Linked DNA regions of Drosophila melanogaster. The gene in region 1 interacts genetically with each later gene. Each region holds a gene or a part of one and is shown on either strand. Other genes may lie near its edges. The genes, in order: EcR, babo, mys and ari-1.

The links.
Region 2: of EcR (region 1) and babo, changing one suppresses a phenotype caused by changing the other (phenotypic suppression), as found in Drosophila melanogaster (2 studies listed by BioGRID).
Region 3: of EcR (region 1) and mys, changing one enhances a phenotype caused by changing the other (phenotypic enhancement), as found in Drosophila melanogaster (2 studies listed by BioGRID).
Region 4: of EcR (region 1) and ari-1, changing one suppresses a phenotype caused by changing the other (phenotypic suppression), as found in Drosophila melanogaster (one study listed by BioGRID).

Annotation. Positions count from the first base shown.
Region 1 is NT_033778.4:6,128,197-6,133,605, reverse strand, and holds the start of EcR (ecdysone receptor), read left to right. Parts: upstream 1-1,764; 5' UTR 1,765-2,488; coding exon of another isoform or gene 2,489-2,540; intron 2,541-5,409. UniProt on the Drosophila melanogaster protein: Receptor for ecdysone. Binds to ecdysone response elements (ECRES) following ecdysone-binding, and recruitment of a complex containing the histone methyltransferase trr, leads to activate transcription of target genes.
Region 2 is NT_033778.4:8,950,377-8,955,591, reverse strand, and holds the start of babo (baboon), read right to left. Parts: upstream 3,254-5,215; 5' UTR 2,621-3,253; coding exon 2,563-2,620; intron 2,490-2,562; coding exon 2,175-2,489; intron 859-2,174; coding exon 741-858; intron 634-740; coding exon 425-633; intron 1-424. Other genes in the region: Tom7 (translocase of outer membrane 7), read right to left, coding at 3,526-3,590, 3,700-3,799; CG8229 (uncharacterized protein), read left to right, coding at 5,005-5,215; CG33199 (uncharacterized protein), read left to right, coding at 4,836-4,886.
Region 3 is NC_004354.4:8,059,311-8,064,817, reverse strand, and holds the start of mys (myospheroid), read right to left. Parts: upstream 3,174-5,507; 5' UTR 3,093-3,173; exon of another isoform or gene 2,738-3,092; intron 979-2,737; 5' UTR 861-978; coding exon 359-860; intron 286-358; coding exon 57-285; intron 1-56. UniProt on the Drosophila melanogaster protein: Integrin alpha-PS1/beta-PS is a receptor for laminin. Integrin alpha-PS2/beta-PS is a receptor for Tig, wb and Ten-m. Contributes to endodermal integrity and adhesion between the midgut epithelium and the surrounding visceral muscle.
Region 4 is NC_004354.4:18,131,298-18,139,640, reverse strand, and holds the start of ari-1 (ariadne 1), read left to right. Parts: upstream 1-1,955; 5' UTR 1,956-2,065; exon of another isoform or gene 2,066-2,276; intron 2,277-2,501; exon of another isoform or gene 2,502-2,590; 5' UTR 2,591-2,980; coding exon 2,981-3,199; intron 3,200-4,301; coding exon 4,302-4,454; intron 4,455-4,515; coding exon 4,516-4,572; intron 4,573-5,280; coding exon 5,281-5,930; intron 5,931-6,269; coding exon 6,270-6,393; intron 6,394-6,454; coding exon 6,455-6,681; intron 6,682-6,763; coding exon 6,764-6,845; 3' UTR 6,846-8,343. Other genes in the region: CG43229 (uncharacterized protein), read right to left, coding at 762-1,010. UniProt on the Drosophila melanogaster protein: Atypical E3 ubiquitin-protein ligase, which catalyzes ubiquitination of target proteins together with ubiquitin-conjugating enzyme E2 Ubc10.

The DNA.
Region 1 (5,409 bases):
TTTGGCAGTCGGCCAAGAGGGAAAAGGATAGTGGAGGAGAGGGGAACGAGACGTGTGGAGGAGTGGAGAATGTGGGGAAGGACGAAAGAGAAGAAAATCATCATAGACGCAGTTATGGGTTGCAGCTGTGTTTGTATTGGTATACCCAAACAAATAGAAGTAGAGAAACATAGGAAGAGATAGAGAGAGGCAAAGTCTCTTTCACGCCCCCGACACCAAGCCGCTGCCGTCCCCACTACTCAGCTGTCATTGTTGATATTTTGTGTTTTCATCTTGAACTTTTGTGGTTCAATGTGTCTAGCCAACCCCAAACAGAGCGAAACTCACCACATGCTAACCACTGTCACCGTCAGTACGACCACCCCCACAGTCCCGCACCACCTTGCCCTTGCATTTTGCCGGCTTTTCTATGCGTATGCGTAGAGAGCGAGGTCGTCTCTCTCGCTCTGGCAAATGCAATTCTCTATTGCATTCTACACTTGAACTTGCCCAGCGTCAACTCAACGCACACAGCGACGTTAAGTAAATACGTAGCGATTCGAATGATGGGGCTGGTGGTGGGGGGAAGGGATGGGCAAACAATTATCTGCAGCGATGTGTGCGTATCTGTATCTGAGTATCTCAGCTCGCTTTGCGCTGACTTTTTAACCACAATGTATTCGAAACGTGCAATTTATACGTCGCCCAGCAGACGGCGGTGATACGTGTATGTGTATGTATACATACGTACATACTCATAGATACTGTTGTGGCTGTTAGTTTGATCTGCGTTCTGTTTACCCTCCTGGTGATCTTTTTCCTTTCCGTCAATTACGTCTCGTAGTGTCAATATTCTGCTTCAAACAGCGGTGTCTACTGACTTCAGGTGGATTTCCCTTCCAACGAATGGAAAACAGTCCTTCGGAGGACTCTCTATGGTTTTCTAACTCGATCTTATTTATTATTCATTCAGCTGACGTGAGAAAGTATTTTTGGCCACATGAAACGTTTTCATTGTTTTCTTGTTGAGATATTTGCTACATATATGTATTCAAATAATAAAGTTTAAAGGGACACTGAAAAATGCAATTGATGTTAGAGATTATTGAAAATAAAACTTGGAATGTATCGAAAAGGTGAAGTAGAGAGACTGTAATTTAAGCTAAATATTTCAACTTATCCTACTTTTAATTATTGCAAGTTGTGGCACTCCTTCCGATTTATTATGGACCCTTTCGTCCCACTATGCGAGAATATTTCAAATGTACGTACATACGTGTGAATTTGCACTTGTGCACCCGAAAGTAGCGATGAACGAAAACGAACGAAAAAAAAAAACAATAAATAAATGTAGAAAACCGAAAATAAAGCAGCAAGAAATGAAAGCGATGATGGCACTCATACTCACGCATACACGGCCATATACGCTCGCACACAACTCACAGATACGTGCCGGAGAGCGGACAAAGAGTATTCCACGATTGCAATTGCATCGGCATTTTCATTCAAGCCGCTTGCTCAGAGTGTGTGTCTGTGGCTGTGTGAGTGAGTGCTGCCTGCGTTTCACATTTATCTTTAGCGCCGATTCCGCTTTTAACTCTCGCTCTTTTAGCGCCATGGTGTGCGTGTCTGGTGAGTTTACTTTGGTGTGCGTGCCAGTGTGGTGAGTTTGAGCGTTTAACATTCTGCTCGTCTCGCTCATTGATTTAGTATTTTTTTGGACTTTGTTGTTAACGGTTGTTCGCTCGCACGTACGAAGCCCGATCGCGTTCGTCAAAAAACAAGATACAAAATACAGCACACACAATTGAAAACGACAACCTAACAGTACGGTTTCCCAAAGCACCTTACATTTCAAAACCGAAAACCCCCAAAATGTTGTAACCAAATAATGTTTAAATCACATATACACCTACATATATTTATGAAAAATTGTTAGACAAATCCCAAATAATACCAGTTCCCCCAACAACCGCAACAAACACAAGTGCAATTCATCGGCAAAAATTAATATAAAGTGCAAATGCATTGTAGCTGAAACTCAAACAATAGTAAAAATACATACATAAGTGGTGAAGAAGCAAAAGGAAATAGTTCTTAAAATAACGCAAATCGAGAGCATATATTCATATTTGTACAGATATTATATGGCGGCTGCATAGTGCAAACTGCGGCTGAGGGAATACAGCGGTATCGAAATGTAAATAGGAAACAACGAAGCCAGAACTCGAAATCAAACATCAGCAACGTGACACACAGACATAAGACGCCCGTCTAGTCGTGGTCTGTGGAACGCTAGCTCCGCTTTGCCAGGAGCCGGAGACTTTTTCCGCATCCACAATATTACATATGTACATATATCGAAGATAGTGCGCGAGTGAGTGAGGGATTTGTGCCGTGGATCCCGATCCCCTTACATATATATAAAGGTAGTGAAAAGATTTTACTCAACATTCCAAATAGTGCTTTGTCAACTGGAATACCTTTTGTTCAAATACGCAGTGGGCCCATGGATACTTGTGGATTAGTAGCAGAACTGGCGCACTATATCGACGCATATGGTGAGTGTGGGCACCTTGGAATCCAATAGAACCAAGCGCTTTTCCATAACAACATTTTGTGGTCAACTGCTTAACGAAAGATCTGAGTTAGGCAACAAGTTCGCTGTTCGGAGCCGAAAACTATTTTCGATTTGTTCAGGCCCTAATGTGTTTGTCTTGGCGCACTTGTCACTTCGCGTGCGCAAAATCAATTTCCATTTCTTATTCATCCAGCCGAAATGAAAACTACATTACCATTAGATCTTTTCAATGCCAAGATACACAGATCATATGTTCGCATAGCTGAATACATGCTGTACATACAGACATTATGATGTCCCAAAAAGATACACATGCTTGGGATGGGGGTTCGATTGGCAATACATTAATTATGGTCATGACAACTGACAGACGGTCAAGACAGAACGTTGAAAATTGTGTATTTCGCCTGCGTAAACATAATCAAGCCTCTTTCGGGCCACCATAGATCCCCGGTGTAGACGAATATGTGCATGTCGGTCTAGGAAAGCACTCGACTGCGTAATTGGCATGTATTTCCATAAATTCAAGTGGGCATTCAGTGAATTCAGCCAACAGATTTACTCTGATTTTCACATATATTCTGTTGATAAGGTTTAATTCGGTGTAAAACGTATTCGATTTATTAAGTGCCGAAAGAACGCTCAAAAATGATTCGATACAGATTGGGCACTTGAATCGTGTTGGAGAAGGTAAAATTGTGGAACATGTAAATGCTGTTCGTCTGAAGAGACTTCACTTTTTGGATCCAATGACTTCAATTGTTAAATGTTCAATTCTACAATAAATGTGTAGTATTTATTTATCTTATTTTTGGTATATTGTTTAATAGGTACTGCGATATATTATTATACATTATAAGGCGAGTCCTCTTGTGCGCTTGGGCTTCCCTATTTTAAAGCGCCTAATGAGGCATTAGGTAACAGCATTAGGTTTGCGCTTAGGTTCCAGTAAAGTCCCCAACATTAGTTTGACTCTCCCACAATTAATTTGTTCCATCCCCCCGACGACACAGACTTACCGCCACCCGTTGGCCTTCGTTTCCTGGGCGGGTCTGGTTAAACTTTCGACTTCATGGCTCTGTTTTTTGATACCCTTTACTCACACAGCATTTAAGTTCTAACGATGACTGAGCTGTGCAAGTTTATTTTTAGTCTCGGCCAAGTCCAATCTAAAGCTCCTAGAAATTCGAATAAGCTCAAAAGCCCTAAGCTGGGTTTTTAAATGAAATTCCTCTACAGGATGCACATAATTCAGAATTGTAGATTTAGTTTTAAACGTGCTAGCGGGTATCTTTTAGTCGAAGCACTCGACTAAAGATTCTCTTTTCCAACTGCTTTTTGCACATTAAGTTTTTCGCTATTTCTTCTTTGCTACACTTTCTGGACACAAACAAAGAGCACAAAAAAAGTAACTTATATCCTATGGCGTCGACAACTTCGTCTTCGCTGCTGTTGTTTATGTTTTATGGGACATTAAAGTGGCCAAATGGCAAATTTTAATGCGATTTTATGCAAATATATAGACACATGTATGTCTATACATGGGATTCAGTGTTGTGGCTTCGCCCAGGCTGAGAAAACCGAGTTACCAGTGCTTTTATGTCGAACCCTCTATGCATTTTTACAATAGTTTGGGGTTCTTAGCTAAATGACTTTGACATGAAGAAATTATACAAGCAAATGGAAACGATCAAAAGATCTGCTTAGTGTTCTGAAAGTCCTACCACAGACATAACAACAATTATGACTACCAAATCCGCACGAATTAAAATGACCCTGGATAATCGAAATACCTTATTTTATATCACAACTGTTTCCAAAGTGTCACACACAACCCCCCTTTAAAAAGGTTCAATGTAACCGCGTCTGGGGGCGACGATACTAATGGGTGCAGACCAGTGGGTCACGAGACAGAACACCACTCCGTTCTTCATCCCCTGGATGGAAATGGGGAACGGGAATGGCAGAAATGGCAAACAGGTGCCATTGTATGTGCTCTTGTATCAATTGCATTGAGTGCCTTATCTTGTCAGCCTTTTCTAGCTGGTTTTCCTTCCCGTTCGGTCTGGATGGACCTAATTTGTGTATGTGCGGTTAAGAGTAGCCTGCCATAAAGCAATCGAGCTTGGAATGAGTTGTGCCTTCTCCCCGACGCTCTTGTGGACTTTCACAGACCAGCAACAAAGTCGAGCTGCCAACACTTTCGCAGACAATCGCCAATGACAGAGAGTTTCCATGACTTTCCACAGTCCAGACAAAACAATTTTATTGTTGTTGTAGATTAGCCGAGCAACGCGAAAATGAACGTAGTTGTAATATAAAGCAAGGTTTAAGTCTTGAAAAACTTGTTCAGATTTTTTAGGGGCAAGCGGATTGTGGCGTTGTCATTCTTAGCATTGACTTTTTCCCTATAACTAATAAACTTAATGGCTTATGCCAAAAAATTACACAAAAAAAAAAACGTTTTTCGTTAGTTGTTTTCAGTATCTTTCCCGAACATGTCTGGTCAATTCAAATTAATTATTTTCATTAAAACAATGTCTTATCCAGTTCAGTTAGTGAGGTTTATTATTTCCTAAGCGTCAACCATGAGTATTGAATCTGGTTTGACACAATGCGCTGTCATTTTATATTGGGTTTAATGTGTCTTCTTTGCTGCCGAAAAGGTCAGACCGTTAGTGTTATTGATTAGAAATGCAAATCGTAGACGCCGCAGAATGGAAGAGAGACACCAACTAACCGGAAAAGGAAATGATTCAAGCACATTTTTGAAGCCGGGCCAGTCAACACTAACCAGTTTTACTACACTTTGGGCCAGCTGTGACTCGTCTATAGGGTTTTTCCTCTTG
Region 2 (5,215 bases), 2.8 Mb from region 1:
AAATAAAATAACAATTATACGAAATTAGTATTGCTTGGCATTGGTTGTTGGTTGCTGCTGATGCTGCTACTGCTGCATCTGATTCTGATTTTGATTCTGATTCAGCTGTAGTTGTTGCCGCCTTCGGCTTGTTGCTAATTGAAGTGGCAGTCTGGTTAGTAGCAAGAAGAGTATTATAATTATATTGATTACAGTGTGTGTAACGCCGCTCTGGTTTTCAGCAGGTCATCATTAGTAGTGCTCTGCATTTGGGGTTATGATCATTTCAAAACTTCAACTCAACGAGCATAAGTGGGGGAAACAGTCCAAAGAACGATCAAAACTGGGCAACTGGTTGTTGAACGGCGTGCGAGTGAACAGAGAAATGGGAGCAGTCAGAGAGGAGGGGTTTTTGGGAGCGAAACACGTGCATAAGCGCACGCACCTTGGACGGAGATTTGCCGCCCTTCTTCGACACGATCACTCCTCTGGTCCTTCGTCTTTGGCCACAGAAATCGGTTGCAGAAGTCCCTGTCCTTGCAGCAGGCGTGGGCGCCATTGCGACCCACTGGGCGGGCGGTTGGTCCGCCGTGCAGCCCGTCGTTACACCAGATGGAGCGGCCCGGCGGAAAGATTTGAGACTTGTGCAGACATCTGCATCGCTCGATAGATCGATCGTATCAGACATATTCACACTGGCTGCTCTGAGGGGCAAGTGCTAACCTAATCAAAGGCCTGCTCCTCAGGCTCTCGGCACTCACCTGTAGCTGAAGATGATGCTCCCATCAGAGTTCTTCTCCACGGACGTGAAACAAAAGCCGTCCGTTTCACATATATTGTTCGATTCCTTGCACGTGTCACAGTGGCATTTTATCTTGTCTGCAGAACATAAAAGGTAAAATTAATATAAAGATCTATTTGCAAAAAACCAAACTTTAGAGTACTATCAAATCCATACATTCCTACCAAAAATTTGTTAACTTTAAACCGACTCACCAACAAAAACTTATTCTTCGCTTAACGATATATCTTCACTATTTGTAGGTGATCCTAACCAAGCACGTGTTTCTTGTAATATTTAATGAATATTAATTACTTGTGGAAAGGTAAGCAAAGGAAGAGGTCCGCGCCTCATTTGCCACGGTTAATGATTTTCTTATTATTTAAACAAATAAAACGCAAAAGCATAGGTTAGCAGTAGCAAACTTCTCGAATTAAGAAAATGCCCCGACTCCGATTGAAGCAAATCAATCAATTAGGCGCTGGCAGAAATTAACTAATTAGAGAAATAAGAGACCCATAAATCAACCACTCGCTGATTGGCATCTCCTGACCACAAATTGGGATTTGCCATAACCATGCCCCCGGGGCACCTGGCCGGGCACACGCTCGCCCAGACAGTCACATAGACATCCATAGCCACTACCATATCCACATCTACCGCCACCGACACCGCCGAGAGCGTGATGAAACAAAAACAAAACCATTTAGCATTAACAAAGCAGACGCGGAGAAGACAAGTGCAAAGTGGAGGGCCAGACAATGCGACCAGTTTCCCCTTCCCCCGGACAGCGAGAAGCCAGTGCCAGTGCTTAGGCCTGCTTTTTTTTGCACCGACTGCAGTTGCAAGTGCCCAAGTGCAGCAAGCAAATGCATCCAGACGTGGGGGTGTCTGCAGCCAGGCAGCGTTGGAGTGGGCCATGAGAGCTGTCTGGCTCAGCTCATTGACACCACGGAGAGGTGACGTCACTATATGGGAACGGAATCGGAGCCTCAGGCGCAGACGAAGACGGCCTTTTAGAAGCGTTCAGAGTCTTTGAGGTGTTACAGTCACGCGATATACACACGGAGAAAAGATCCCTATGGCATCGAAAAGATCGCCAAGTATTAAGTAACCCTTGGTAAGATATTTTAATTATTAAACAACAACAACAAAAATGTCAATATATCGGACAAGTAAGGTATAACCACTAAGCGGTTTCTATCTTCTCCCAATAATGGATTTCACCTTAAAAAAGGGAAGTAAAATGACCTTTACTCTGTGCTGACTTTCCTGGTTAACTGAAGTCAAGTAAAATGTTTGCAAGGCAATACCGGAACAAGTCTGTAAATCTATCACATTCTTGTTGTTTAGATAATTCGGGGTGCATTGTCCGCAGTGTGCTCTACACTCTCGTTAGGCAATCGGAACTTACTTTCTGGCTTTTTCGCGCTAGGCTGAGCAATGTAGATGGGCAGCTGGGGAGTAACAGCAGGGGCCACAGCTCCAGATGCGTCGCCGTCTTGCGGCAGCAGCATGGACACGGCGCTAGCGTTGTTGTTGTCGTGGCTTCTGTTATCAGCGGCCAGCGACGACGATGGCGACTGATAAGCATGTCCAGCTGTTCCAGCTGGAGCCCTGAGCGCCGGCGCTTTGGTCGTCGGTGGCCATTTGCCAGGGTGGGTTGCAGTCGCAGGATCAGATCGAGAGCCATTTAGGCTGGTGTCCATTACGAACTCAATGGGGGAGGCTGCACCGGGGGAGATTTTAGGTTAGTTTCGCACCTGATCCAGATTAATGGAACCGCTGGGGGGTACACTCACCGCAAACAGAGGCGCCGAGCAGAGCGCCCAGGAAGATTAGCCGGAGCGCAGATAACATGTTGGCTATTCGCACCGACGATAGTGTGTGCGACCCGACCCGAGCTATTGTTATTGTTTGTGCAGCCCGAGAGCTTTTCTTTTGTTTTCCACGATCGCACGCACGCACACGCGCGTCGCAAGTTCAAAGTCTGTGGCCTGCAAATGAGATTGTTGTTTCGCGGCAGGACGAGGCGGGGCCGCAGGAGCAGGAGGAGCGGCAGGAGGACACCTCAGACAGCCACTAATTGGCCCCGAACTGCGCATTTATCGCGTAGGACAGGCGCCCGCGAATTCCCACATTTGGCGGGGGCATGGCCGGGAATATAGACTGGCGATTCTCACAATTAGCGAATCTCGATGGGGGCCCGCAATGCGAAACTCGAACTCCACACTCCGCACAAGTTGGTTGGAAAAACTGCTCTGCTCTGCTTTACATTTCACGGACGAGGGCGACTTTTCAGGCGGATTTTCATCACGTGATTGGGGCAGTGGCGCGGGGGAAGTGGCACTATTTCATATTCCGCGGGACAGCCGGCACTTTCGGGTGTCTGGGGCAACCGTTTGTTTATATTAATTGCTGCTATTTTTTCTTAAATGTACAATTTTGTGCAGCGAAAAACCGCGCTGGTGTGTGTGGATTTGCAAACAGTGTGACCGCACCTGCAGTAGTGTGCCCAGGCTGGACTGCCCATGAAAAACACCCACCCGCTAGAGAAGTGCGTAAAAATGCCCAATCGGTTATGTTTTTATGGACAATGATTTTTGTTAAAATATTGGTTGTTTCCAGGATACATAAAAAAATTTCGATTTGTTTTGTAACAGATATTTATTTGCAATAGCTGCAGGTACTGCACCCGTTCCCAGAAACCCAACCAGAACCAAAATGCGGGGCATACGACAGCAAAATGATCATGTCCACTATTTTTACTGCCATAACAGACTGAAAAGGTTCAGAGGCGGCATGCCAGGCTCAGCTCCCTTCATAAATCCTGCGAAAATGAGAATTGGTCAAAATCAATGTCGGTCCATTTGATATTACCCCGCTGCTTCTTCTTCCCAGCCGCGTGTAGATTACAAAAAACATGAACCACAACTTACCCAAATACAGCACAAGAGGCACGAATCCCCAGTGGAATCCAGTCTGGACGACTCCAACCACAAATCCCAAACGATCCTTAACTCCCTCGGATAGCTTCATTTCGTACGGATATTGAATTTAGCTCCTTTTGCGAATTATGAAATGATAACTTGTCTGACTGCAAACGAAGTGTTGGAAAACAGCACTTTTTTCGATATAAAACAGCTGACAGAAACTTTTTGTTAGGTTACTCGTTCAATTTATATTTTCTTGGGATGGCTTTGTCGCAGGTTGCTGGGCCTGAAATAATTTACCAATTTAAAGAATCAGTAAAATTATTTCGAATACAGATTTCTGTTGGTGTGGCAACATTGACATTTGAGCGCAAAATTTAAATTCGCTTCTAAAACGGTCACACCGTTTTGCCCTTTGGGTTTTAATCTGATATTCTTTAATTTATATTTTCCACTATAAAGGTTTTTAACTACCATTTCACCGACAAGTTGTCTATTGGACACATATCATGAAAAGAAAAAAGTGTGCTTGGTCTGAAAAATACCTTTTCGTATTTTTAATGATCCCGCAATATTTTTGCATGTGTACTCCCATCAACTTTAAAGATGTTACATTTCCAAAGTTTCAAATTCTGAAAGCGTTGGAAATGCAACAAGAATTTGAAGTAAGGAAACTTCTTTTTAACGCTCAAAGTTTTCGTTGATTTCTTAACAATATGAAGCATAAAAATAAAAAATACCCCTGCTATCTCTCGCAGCAGGCAAGTGCTCCGTAGATCGATACTATCGCAGCCACTCGAAGTCCCATCTCTAATCTCGAGTCCCTTTCGCACTTGCCCGCTACTCACATGAGTTCTAGATCGTTTAGTTTTCTTGGTTTTCATTTGCTCGCCAAATTTTAGCAACGTTGCTGGTTTAATCGGCTGCACCTGCAATCGCGGTTAATCAGAGAGCGCCGAGCACTAAAGTTCCCATTGCCAAACGAAACGTAAGTGATAAAGAACGCCAGCAATGAGCGAACAAGAGCAAAGCGCACGCAGTCGGGGAAAAATCAATTGATGTTATGTAAGCTCGAATAACCGGATACCGTGTCTACTACTGTTGCAGGTCCCGATTTGCTCGATTTGGAACTGGAACGGACCATGAAAACAAGCAATCTCGGCCTGTACGCTTTCCGTTTAACCTTCGGTCAGGTGAGCACACGCACATTAAACCAGGCAGCCAAACGGCAGAAACAGCATGCGCATTCTGGGGGAAACCTCTGAGTTTTTCGGCCGGGCAAACCAAGGACCACCACAATCGTCGTTGAGAATGCAGCGACTGCAGCCGGGAGACGAGTGTCTGGAGTGCCAGAGTGAAGGCAGGAATCACAAGCTGCGCTACTTTTACATTAATCTCGAGGAGCAGCTGCTGAAGTGCGAGTCCAGGAGCTGTTTGTGGCCACACAACGATGAGGTCTCCTCTGATGAAGATCTGAACTCGGAGGCAGCACTTCCCATCACTGCTCCACAATCTGAACTTT
Region 3 (5,507 bases), on another chromosome or scaffold:
TGTAGAACTATTTCCAATTCATGGTTTTCCTTCACATTTATGTAGGTCATACTCACTTTTTGGGAATGGTCGAGACATAGGGCATGAGCACCTTGTCCACAAACGAACCGAAACCAAGATGGAAATTGTTGGTGATGCGTTTCATGGTCTCGGACAACTTGTCGCCCAGCGTAGACAATTTGGCCTTGTCGTCCTCCATAGATTTGGAGAGATCCATCAAGTAGTAGAGATCCACCGGATATCCCTCCGCCTGGGAATAGCTAATCTTGATGTTGTGTTTCTCATCTAAGGTGTATTGATAAGCAAGTAAGGGATTAGTTTGTAGGTCACATGGATGATGCAATCGTTTGCTACTCACTGACGCGCAATGCGAGTCGCATGGACTGCGGTTGGATTTGGACAATTTCGCCGGCAGAGTACTCTTCGTATCCGCTGGCGGAACTGGATCCCGAGGAGCTCTGCGAGTAGAAGCTCGACGAGCTCGAACTCGACGAGTAGGAGCTTGAGCTGCTGCCGGACATGGCGGAGCCGCCGCCACCAGCCGCCAGTTCAGCTTTGTATTGATTCGTTAGTTTGTTGTTCACTAGAATCTGCTCAACTGTTATCGGACTGTAGGCGAACTCCTCCGGACACAGTGAGCTGGTGTTTTGGTAGCACCGCGACTGGCCCTTAAAGTCCGGCTGCATGCACCAGGCGCAACCCTCTGTCTGGATGCAGGTGTGACACTTTTCCTTCGATGCACATGTGCTCACTGCCGTCAGTTTGGCCGCCTTCTGGGCATCCGTTTGTCCAGCGATGGCGGCCAGTATTGCGATCATGAGGAGGGCCAGCTGGCACCTCCGGTTTCTCTCGAGGATCATGGCTTTGGCGGTTAGCGGTTGGTGCAGGTTGTGGATGATTCGGGATGCAGGAGGATCGGATATCCTTGGATGTGCCAGGTGCTGTGTGTGCTCTGTCTCTGTCGCTTCTGTGCGCCGGCTGCAATGGTAAGTGAATTAAAATTGTTGGATTTAGCACTAGATGTTAAGTAAGGGGCAGAAATTATTATAAAAGCCATTCCTGGTTCACTTATATTTCTAATGCTACATATTTTATATTATTTTTTTTTATATGCCTTAATCTTTCATTTATTTTTAAGACACAATTTGATTTCTTCGATTTCGCTGCAATTTTTACGAACGCCGGTGTACGTAAAAGTCCAGCTGCTGACTGCACTGCTTGTCGAGCACTGCTTTCTCCGCGTGCCCTGCTTTTTTCTTTATTGCAACAACAAACAACAGCAAATGGCCGCACATCTGTCCCCTTTTTTTGTTGTTTCTTTCGCTCTACCTTAATGTTTAATTTTATTTTCTCATCAACTTGGCCAGATGACTCATCTCACAAACACACACACACACCAAGCGATTGATGTACGAACTTGTGTGTGGGTGTGCGTGCCTGCGTGCTTTTGTTGTTTTTTTTTGTTGGCCTCCGAAAAGAAAAGGAAAAAAGCGGAAGGAAGAGAGCTTTCGATAAACGTCAAATGCAATGCGAATTACTCATTCGAGCACGTTCCGTTAGCACGCTCTCTCGCTCTCTTGGCTCCTGGCAAAATGTAAACAAAGGCCGAACGAACAATGAGTGGTCATTGAGTCAGCTTCGCTGGGTTTCCTTTCCGCCTAAAGCCACATGAATCACTCACTCCAAGCCACTCAAGACTCAAATCAAAATTCCATATGCACGGAACGGAAAAAAAAGGGCTGCAGATTACGTATACGTATGGGTGTTGTGTTGGTCGGCTATTTTTAAACGCCCACGCACACACAACACAACGAACACTAACACACCACAGAGCTTGATTTGCAGCAGATCGTGTGCCGAAAGGAAAACAAACTAAAAACGACTAAGCCCATGTTTATATACCCTTGGATTGAATAATTTCATTCGATTATCATTTATACACCCAGTCACAGCATATCAAAGTTATGAGTTGTGCACTTAGTAGTAGTTTTAATCAGTTTTTTAGCTAGCAAATTCGTAATACTATAAACCGCCTGAGTAAACAGCATCTGCAGCGCATAGTTTCAACCACGGATGGACGCCCACAGCCATTGGGCCAAAAACGAGGCACATCTGGGCCGCCCACATGTGGGCGTACTGGTTAAACCAGCGGCGCGCAGAGGATTTCATTTTTTTTATTGTTTTTTTTTTGATAGCTTTGGTAAAATTGGTTTTTACTTCCAGTTACAGTTGGTTTCAAATTCGGTTGGCTGTTTATAAAGTGGACAATTACCCCGAAAATCTGGGCAATCCCCTGACAAACACAAATTCCTGCTGCTGCCACTGAGCTCTTGATTTTTGTACGCTCTTTTCGCTTCTGCCTACGTACTCTACTCGATTTTTAGTTCGAGTGCAAGATCTCCGGGGTGGGGAAGTTGCACTGAAAAGGGAGGGGGCGTAATCAGCAATTGGCGTCGCGAAGTCGCCGATATGCACACTCAAAGAAATAAATAAATATGATGAATAATAATAACAAAAAAAATGAAACGAGTGAATGTATCGTGAGGATTCATTATTTTTTTTAGCTCAACAAACAACCCACACACAGATACGGCGTTCGGTGTGTGCGTGCCTGTGTGTCGTCACTGCGAATGAAATCATCGAAAAAAGAGGAGATAAAAGTAGCGCTTCGATATTGCTTCCTCTTTTTTTGGGCAAATGCAGCCCGGAATCCATTGATTTCTTACGTAATACCCACTATTTCACCCGCTATCTGATTAATCGCAGCACTTTGGCTTAACTTTCGCTGCGTTTTCGCTGATAATTCGCGATATTAATTTCCATCAGGGCGGCACTTTTCTTATTTTGATTTGCCTTCTCGCACACTTGTGGAGTTCCCACTCACACGCACACACTCGCACACTAAACACTAGCACTGTGCACACACGCAGTTATTACAATTACTTGCCACCGTTATTCGCTAGATCAGCGAATTTAACTCTTATCGGGTGACACGAAAAACCAAAAAAAAAAATACAATTCGACTGCAGAAGCAGCAGCTGAAGGCCGCCAATTGGTGTCGGGAATTGGATTTGGATTAAATTAATATTTACTGCTTTGCTTTGTCCGCGGATCTGGTCTGTTGTTCAGTGTTACCAGATGGTGTCAGCAGGGGGTGGAACAACAGTCAATGTTCTTTCGATATTTGCCATCCGATGTTCGCCAGTGTTGTTAAATAGCTCTGGTCACACCGAGCCTAGGAACAGTGTTGCACAGTTTTGGAGGACTGTGTCTCCGCTAAAAGAGACATTTGTGCTCGCAAACACAATCCGATAAGTAATCGAGAAACACGTAAAGGAACTCTGGTTATCGGAGTCACTTATTGCACGATAGTTTCAGACAAAAACGCCTGCTTATATCGATGACAGCCTTGTTTTTGTTGCGCTTACGTTACGAAATTAATGTAAAGTAGCCGACGAATCTACGTTCTACCAGTATAAATGGATTAAAACTAACAACAGCATAAGTGTAAACTGCTGGTGAATTTCCCAAATAGCCATATGAAAAAGCTAAAAGTACGTGCAAATGGTTGAGAAAAGGAGAGAACGAAAGCCACTATGAGTTTGCGAGAGTATGTGTGACTACTTTGCTCTCTGGCTCTCTCTATCACACACACTCGCACAGAACGCTCTTCTCACATGCTCTCTCTCGGCCGGTAGCTCTAGCTGTCCCGCTCTCGATTTATCAATAAAAGCAGTGCGTTAGAGCGGCATAGCCGCATGTACCAAGCGCGTGCGCCTCGTGCCCGTCGGCTGTCCATGTGTGCGTGTGTATTCGCATTTTCAGTAATTTCGAAAAAAAATTTTGTATATTTGATGGCGACTCAGAAGAAACTCGCGCGTTTGTCGAAAAATCGTAGCGCGTACGTATATATCGGTGTGTAGAAATTACTAAAAATTGTGGTAAAAAATGGCAAAAATTATATAAATTTGTGTTCGAAGTGGAGTGCTAATTGCGGGGGATCAGATGCGAATGGAAAAATGTTGAAATTTATAAGATTTTAGCGCCAAAAAATGCATTTGAAAAATGTGAGACTTCAATGGACATGACAAATTTTTTTTTTCATTTTTTTCGGTGGTGGAACAAAAGCGAACGAAAGAGGAGCAAGAAGCAGAAACGTTCGTCAGTGTGTGTGCGTGTGTGTGTCGAGTGAGGGGGCATGAGCATGAACGTGTGTAGTCACCAAGTGAATAATATTAACAAATAAAAGAAGAAAAAACGAAAAAAGAGGAATACACACGCAGAAGCGCGCGAAAAGTTTCACTCGAAATGAGAAAAAACAAAAGCAAAATATACTAGCGCTAGTTGATTTTCGCTAGCAAAAAGAAACCGACGTGCACATTGAAAATCTATAATTTTGTCGATTTTGTTATTGTATTTTTTGATTTTGCGGTTTTGCGGCGCCGTCGGTAACGTTAGCATACCGTTACGTGGCCTACGTAGCGTGGTGACGTACAGAAGACGCTTACGTTGTGGGTTACGTTACATTTGTCGCTGGGGATTTTACTCTTTCTCCCTCTCTTTACGCCACACTCATTCTCTGGCGCGCGCAAATCCAAAAATCTCGAGAAAAAAAATAGTGCCCGATGTGACCAATATTTTTTGTTTTTATTTTTACAGTTGCAACTTTTTAACAATCGTGTACAATCTGTATGTTGTATATGTTCAATTCAAAATTCAGCAACAATAGCAACAACGCAATTCAGCAACAACAACAAACAAAACCGACAAGCTAAACTTGGCTAAGACAAAATCAACATCCAGCGGCAGCGCGGCCATAAACAAAGCCAAAATCAAAAGTCATTCGGATATATACATATATTCGCCCATAATAGCGAATAAACAGTAACAGAACGAGTGGATTTAACGAAACAACAAAAAGAAAAGAAGAACGATAAAATCCAAAGGAAAAGTAAGTTTAAAAAGTGCAGCGCACGTGGCGTTTACCCCCGCCTCCTCCACCACTAGCCGCCCACCTTCGCACAGTGGAAAACGACACAAGAGCGCGCCTCTTCGGTTTGCCCCAAGGACACTTTGCATTTTCTGCTAGTTTTCGAGTATTTGCTTAGGGGTCAGCAACCCGGCAAAATGGAGGGAAATTTCGACACGACAGCTGCTTTTCCCCGGATTTATTCAACTGCCGCAACAACCCTTTTTTCCCCGTGGCCTGGGAAAACGATGCATTCCATGTTTATTTACAATTTAACTGTGCAATAACTGAGATACCAAATGTTCCCAGGGTGATTTCGAATTAATCTGCTACTTCTACTGATCCTAGATTTCTTTTAACTCGAATGCAACATCATATCGTTTTTGAAAGCAAAGCAGTCCAAATGATTATTATAAAAATAAATAAACTAATCTAGTTTACTATTTACATTCCCAAAGATGTGATTTGTTGGAAAGATTTGTTCGTTTCACTTTTATATTTTGAGAGATTTTCCTTTATACTGTGAATATTATTCATA
Region 4 (8,343 bases), on another chromosome or scaffold:
CTACTATAATTGAATCGGGCAGCACAGACTGGCGTTTCGTGTAATAAAACTTGCCAGCAATTATGGCGTGCCTAATGCAAATTGTAATTAATTCCTGAAATGCAAATTGGAACAATGTATGTATATATATATATGCTTGCATAGGTAATGGCCAACATGGATACATACATATGTATGCATATGTATTAATGTATAAATATACATACAAAGTAATTTAATCACAATTATATGCGATGGCCGGGTTTTAGTGGCAACTGCCTGGTATTACTATTCATAAATGAAAATGACTTAAATACTCCCAATGGAGCGGTGCATTTTTCAGCTGCTTTTTTGTGGCGAAAAAAAAAAACAATGCAGCCATTCATGCGCTCAGTGCATTCGGTAAATTTAACTCAATTGATTGAATTACAATCAAATTGTCATTTTCATTATATGCAAAAATGGTATACATTTTGGTTCATGTTAAAAATGCTATTTAGTAACTGCCGTCATGTAATTTTGTAGTTTTTATTTATTGGTTTTATAATTTCTACAAATGCCTAATATTAAACCAATAGAAAATTATTGAAAACATTAAAATATTTACTTCTGTGTAATGAGGCAAACGCCCAATCAATTTTATAACCATTTTTTTCTCATTAAAAATGTGTCTGCTGTATTTATTTTGCATGCTGATTATTTCCATGCAATCGGTTTTTAGTTTACATATGAATTTTAAGGTGATATTCGTTTAGATATTTGTTTTGATGGTGAATCCTATATCAGGGGCACAAAATAAGAGGCACACAGTGTCCTCGTTCGTTACGGGCATATCCTCTCGCACAATGGCATCCCGATGGGTTTTTCCAGCACCGCTGACTGAACTCCTGGCAGAAGGACTCGCATCGGCAGATCGGGTTGCTCAGACGGCACTCGTAGGGCCCACAACTTCCGGATCCGCCCAGGTCGGCCCGTATGGCTGCCACCATTAGAAGAAGAAGAAATCGAACTGCCATCCAACGAATTTGCATTATGACCGCATTCTGATTAAGCCAGCTGGCTCTTTATATACATACCTTATACACAACAACAGTTGTCAGGTGTTGCAATAAAAACACAATATACAATAAAAAACTTTAAGTGAAATCGAATAAGGCGCCCATTGCCAGTGCAACTCTGTATCAACCGATACAGTATCGATAAGGTATCGATATGGCATCGATACATCGATGTTACAACAGAGTGGCAATTTACCATTGAATTTGATTAACGGTACTTGTGAAACAATGAAAATTGGGACAGTAAAGTTTAAAATAATTTTATTCAAATATATTTTTAGCTCGTGCGAAGTTTTAGCAATTTTATATTGTTCGCCACTTTAAAGATTAAACTCTAACCGCAAACAACCGGAGGTTGCAGTTAAAAACATGAGAAAACGTTTGAGTATAATATCTTGACAGTCGAATAAAAGATCTCAATAATAGATCAAGACGCCTAGTTATCCTGATCAAGAATATGTGTACTTTATGAAGTCGGAAGCGCTTTTCAACGAATCTAGTATACCCTTTAATTCCAAGAATAATTAATAATGTTTAAATAACAATATTTATTTCAAACAGGTTTATGTCTCGGATTGGAATTTGACACTGTGGTTCGTGCCTTTGAATGGATCCCTTCAAGTCTTGTTCTGTAAAGGGATTTTCTCAAAAACTGTTTCTGTAAATTAAGCGCATGTCTCATTTTTAAGATAATCTCTTTTGATGAATACACTGAGAATCAAGAAAACGTTCATTGGAAGCTCACTTGTTTTTGAATCTACTGTTTCCCAGCCGTCGATAAGTCACTATTGCTTTTTTGGCACCCATCGATAAGCAGATGTTGTTAAACATACGATTTAACGGAACGGTATGAAACAGGCGGCAATCGGAACGAAAGTAAATGGGAAAAAAGCGCAAACATGCGCACACACTTTCACGCACACTTGACTCCACTGTGCGAGCGCGTGTGTGTGTGTGTTATTTTTTGAGAAAAGCAAAGAGAGCAAGTGAGAACCAACACCGATGCAAATCATTTTGTTGGCTTTACGGTTAGTTTTTCGTGAAAATTCCATTTAATTTGTGCATTGCAACCGAACTTCGCGACGAAGGCGAGCACGATTAGTGCAATAAGCTAGTGTTTTTTCTTTGGAAAAGTGCATAGAAAAACAACAAAAAGTCATAAGCTTTTCGACTGTGCCTTTGTGTACGTGTGTGTGGCAATACACACGTAATGTGCGCATGTGTGTGCGCAGTGTGCTGGTGTGTGCCATTACCTTGAAAACAAAATAATCTGCCCTAAAGAAAAATGCATTTGTGTACATAATTTCGTTGTTTTTTTTTGTTTGTCCCATCGACGTTCGGTCGATTTTACATGATTTTACACACACATGCACACATTTAACATAGTGTTGTTCGCTGTTAAATCAGCAGTTCGGCCCTGTTAAGCGCACGGGCCAGTGTGACCGTTCTTCTTAAAAATACCGAACCAGTATGACTGCGCTGCGACCGTGCAGGGTCTCGTATTGTCATTAGAAAATCTCACATATTCATTTTTCATTTACAAATAAAAATAGCCAGCACGCAGCCTACAAATTAGCAGCGCACAAAATAAGTTAGTGTGAAAAAGGGAATAGAAGCTGTGCACCAAGTGCAGCGACCAAACACAACTGGCCACGCCACTGCGAGGGCAGCAATAATAACAACTGGCGAAAAGGGCTGCGCAAAAACGTAAACAAAAGCAAGTGGAAAACGAGGCAAAGGAAAACGAAAAGACAGAAACAAACGCAAATGCAAATGCAAAAGTAAAATACTGGAAGTAAACGCTGGAAAACAAAGCCTCGAAAGCTGAAAACAAAGAGGAACGGAAGTGGTGCGGGAGGCGCAAGAGGAACAGGAAGAGGAAGAGAGCAGAAGGAGCACCAGCAGCTGAAGCAGAAGCAGTAACGCAAAACAGAAACCGAAAAATGGACTCGGACAATGACAATGATTTCTGCGATAATGTCGATTCGGGCAACGTCTCCTCGGGCGACGACGGCGATGATGACTTTGGCATGGAGGTGGACCTGCCAAGCTCCGCGGACCGCCAGATGGACCAAGATGACTACCAGTACAAGGTGCTCACCACCGATGAGATTGTGCAACACCAGCGCGAGATCATCGACGAAGCCAATCTGCTGCTGAAGGTATGGCCAAGCGCAAGTACAGTGAACACCCGCTAGTATAACTATCCATCCGCAACTTAACTATCAGTCCTAGGGCAGCCATAGAGGTACATTCTTCACCCAGTCCAGACAACAAAGATAGGCAAGCAGTCACCTTTGATTGCTCTACAGTCAGGCCTTCCTAGCAGGAACATGTTTGTTTCGACTTTCGTTAGCGCTGCGATTTGCAGTGAAAGCCAAATGGCTTGACATAGTTTAGTGGCGTATAGCTGCCAAGAATATCTGATCTGTTCGCCGCTCGGAGGCATCACTGTGTGCAGCACAGTGCATTTGGGCATGTGTATCCGTGAATCGCTTTCCCCACCCCTCGCTCTTGCCGCCCACCGCCCTGCCTGGGATCTGGGATAAGCTGAAGGTCGTCCGCTGATGACTGCCAGTGCCAGTGAAATCGGAACACAAGCACCCAGGCGCACCCAAGGTCGCCAGATCCGCATCCCATATCCGCATCAGCAGCTGACTTGCCCGAAGTTCACTAGCACAGTTTTCACTTTCCCAGATTTCGGGGGATTCCCTTAAAATGGTATTATAGATTCCATTTCAAATGAATACATTAGGATCAATGTAGAATCCATGTAATACTTTTTTGTTTCATTGACATTTAAACATCAGAAAATCTTTCATTGCAATAATAAGCGAAATTCACTTAGCTTGAGTGTTAACTTTCAGTATTGATACAGATCATGTATGTAGCTATCTAATTGTTAGTTAAACAAAGCACCTTTGAGTAACTCTTCCCTCTAAAATTGAATTGTACATACATACGTACTTTTTCTCGATTTCCAAACAAATCGATTAGTTATTAGGAATGCCAAGAAATGTTATATATCCTAAAAATTATACTGTTTAGATAGACCAATTGCCAGTGGTAGTTATAGTGGTTCCACATCACAACCCCATCCACGATTATACATAGGTACTGCTGATCATACTGCTGCTGATCGCAAATGATTTGGCATTGATTTCGATGCCAACTGGGATGCAGCCCCCGCTCTTTTACCCCATATATGTACATATGTGCCATCATCCACTGACATTCGATTTGTTTTGTTGTCTATGGCCACAGCTACCCACACCCACCACACGGATACTGCTAAATCACTTCAAGTGGGACAAGGAGAAGCTATTGGAGAAGTACTTCGACGACAACACTGATGAGTTCTTCAAATGCGCACATGTCATAAATCCTTTCAACGCCACCGAAGCGATCAAACAAAAGGTGAGCCCAGTGCTAAGGCTCCATTTGATGTCTCATCTAATGCGTTTCCCTTCATTTTCAGACCTCACGCAGTCAGTGCGAAGAGTGCGAAATATGCTTTTCACAGCTCCCGCCAGATGTAAGTTGTCATGGAGAAGGGATGAGTAACTCCGTGACCTAATTGCGGTGTAGAATATATTTTCCCGCTGATTAACCACGAATATTTTGGGGGGAAACATGATTTTTTAACTGGTCAATGGTGCCTTATCTGATGACCTGATAATAATGTTAGGGCGTTGCTTTGCTATACAAATCTAAAATATTCTAAAAAGACTTGATTTGTATTTTATCAATTATTTTTATTGGCTTACGTTATCACTAATTTACTTGCTTGATTTACAATTGTTGATTGTTAGCCTGAATTTGGTTATGTAAGCAGTTCAGCAGTAATTCGCTGGAATCCAACTGTCTTGTGGAATCAAACATTTAATAATGTAGTTTAAAAAGTAAAATTTAGTATCACGTTTTAAAAGAGTAGATTGCAATGGGCAACTTTGGGTTATAACAGCAAAGTAAACTTAAATATATTATAGACAAGCTAACTAACAAATACTCAGAGCGTAAAACACCTATGAAAAGTTTAAAATTACCATACGCTATGTAGGTGGTTTTAATTTGCTGTATGCTTCATCATTAAGCTCTCATAGTTCGCGTGATCTTTAAGTATATATTATAGAATACGATTATAATATATTTATAATATTGTATACTCTTTTGCTCCACAAGCAACAACTTCAAGAATATCTACAATGTATACTAATAGCTACTTTCTCTTCGTTCCATTTAGTCCATGGCCGGGCTGGAATGCGGACACCGATTCTGCATGCCCTGTTGGCACGAGTATCTGTCAACGAAGATCGTGGCGGAGGGTCTGGGCCAGACCATTTCGTGCGCGGCGCACGGCTGTGATATCCTGGTGGACGACGTGACCGTCGCCAACCTAGTGACGGACGCACGGGTGCGGGTCAAGTACCAGCAGCTGATCACCAATAGCTTTGTGGAGTGCAACCAGCTGCTGCGCTGGTGTCCGTCCGTCGACTGCACCTATGCGGTGAAGGTGCCGTACGCGGAGCCACGTCGCGTCCATTGCAAATGCGGCCATGTCTTCTGCTTTGCCTGCGGCGAGAACTGGCACGATCCGGTCAAGTGCCGTTGGCTAAAGAAGTGGATCAAGAAGTGTGACGACGACTCGGAGACGTCCAACTGGATCGCGGCCAATACCAAAGAGTGTCCCAGGTGCAGCGTGACCATCGAGAAGGACGGCGGCTGCAACCACATGGTGTGCAAGAACCAGAACTGCAAAAACGAGTTCTGCTGGGTGTGCCTCGGTTCTTGGGAGCCGCACGGCTCCTCCTGGTACAACTGCAATCGCTATGACGAGGACGAGGCCAAGACGGCCCGCGATGCTCAGGAGAAGCTGCGCTCCTCGCTGGCCAGGTGGGTCATTCGACTGTGAACGATGTCACAGGATAGGAACCCCTTTTGTTTTTTTTTTTTTTTAAGTGATACTTGTTGTGTATTATTTTCGCAGTTCGCTGATAATGACGGTTAGCGGTTTATTTTATCTGCTAATTTCTTTTAAGAAAAGATAACGATTGAAAGCCGTAGAAAGGAATGAATCAGCTATAATTCGTAATTAAATTTTATCGCTGATTAAACCTGTAGAATTAGAAATGCTAAAACTAATCAAGGAAACACGAAAGTATCTAGGCAGAAATGTGAAAGTCATTATGGAATAAAACTCAACTGATATATTATCTTCTGCCAAATCTACAGATATCTCCACTACTACAATCGCTACATGAACCACATGCAGTCGATGAAGTTTGAGAACAAATTGTATGCATCTGTGAAGCAAAAGATGGAGGAGATGCAACAGCACAACATGTCATGGATTGAGGTAAGTGGTGAAAACTCGTGACCATAACAATGCGAATTCAGCACACTCATTGCAATTGCAGGTGCAGTTTCTGAAAAAGGCTGTCGACATACTTTGCCAGTGCCGTCAGACTCTCATGTACACGTACGTGTTTGCATATTACTTGAAAAAGAACAATCAATCCATGATATTCGAGGATAATCAAAAGGACTTGGAGTCGGCAACCGAGATGTTGTCGGAGTATTTGGAACGTGATATTACATCCGAGAATTTGGCTGATATTAAGCAGAAAGTGCAAGATAAATACAGGTGAGCGAGCGAGCCATGTCCGTGTCCCCAACATACAAACGACTCATTATCCAAACATTGATTGGTCTCTCCATTCGATTAGGTATTGTGAAAAGCGGTGCTCTGTTCTGCTGAAGCACGTGCACGAGGGGTACGACAAGGAGTGGTGGGAGTACACAGAATGACGCGAGTCATGGCTGGATAACTAAGCTAAGCCGAGCGGCAGGCAATCGGAATGTAGTGCCCGCTAAGCGCCACCCCATCCAGCATCCGAAATGCAGCAAACACTGTCCCCATCCACATACCGACCAACATCCGCCAAGCCACGCAACACACACACACACACACACACACACACTCACGCACGCACGCACTCACGCAGAAATCGAAGCCGAAGGAGTTGAACAGAAGTTAAGGATAATGCAGAAGCTACACAGAAACGCAAGAGAAAGGAGACTCGAAATTCCCAGAAACGCAGGATAAATCCCCATACAAGAGTTGCAAAGCAAAATTGAAGCCATTTCAGAACACAGAAGCCAGAAGGAAATCACCATAAAATCGTAATATATATAAATATATATATTGAATTATATATATTTTTCTTCGTACTAAGCAAGAGCAGCAGCAGGACACGAAGAAGGACAGGATCAAATAGACACTACCAAACACATACTCACACACTCCCACACACACACACACACACACACAGAACCAGTCACAAGGCTCAGAAGCAGAATAGATATATAGTAAATAATCAACAGTTAAAAACTTATTTGATGTTAACCGATTGCAAAGAAATCTTCATGTTATAAAAACCTAATGAAAAACGAAACAAAATGCAAAAATTAGTGAATTCAAAGCTACACGCATGATGAGAAGCCAACAATAGAACCTAAACTTATGTGAAATAAACAAACTACACATGTAAGCAGAAACACTCGCCCAGCTTCCTTTCCACCTGCCCAACTTCCTTCGACCAAAGACAATAGAATAACAAGATGCGTAACGCAACGCGATTTTTTAGCACACATTTTTTTGGCAATGGATCTAGAAGGTGGCTCCAGGCTCTCTCGAATTTTTGAGAGAGAGCGAGAGAGTGGAGAGCGCTACAGCAAATAGCTCTTTTCTACGTATACAGTGATAGCAGACAATTGTATGTGTGCACACGTATGCTTATGCATTGTAAATTTGACCCCCTTCTTAGACTTTAAATCTTTATTATTTTTGATCAATTGGCACCATGCTAAAAATTCTTGTTTTGCATTGCCTTAACGTTATTATTATTTGAAAATAGATTAGAAATAGCCAAATCTATGTACATATTATCACAAAATAAATTTCAAAAATTACTTTATTAGAATATTTGTCATTAGAGTATTCAGCTTGCGGCGTGTGAAAAATTAAATTTTTGTAAAATTTATGTTTTAAATTACGGTAGTTAATATAATTTGCTTTGTATTGAGTATATTTATTAAGTCATTTGACTTAATATGATGTATGTAAATGTACCATTTCAATTATTTAAAATGCACATTAGATTCAGTTGTTTTTCAGTTTTTGTTTTTTTTTTTTTTTTGTATTCCAATTTGATATTTTTTCATCATATTGCTAGTGCCAAACCAATGTAAGGCCGTTGCGCATCTTGTTATTCTAGTGTCTTTGCTTCGACCTTCTACGTCCCTT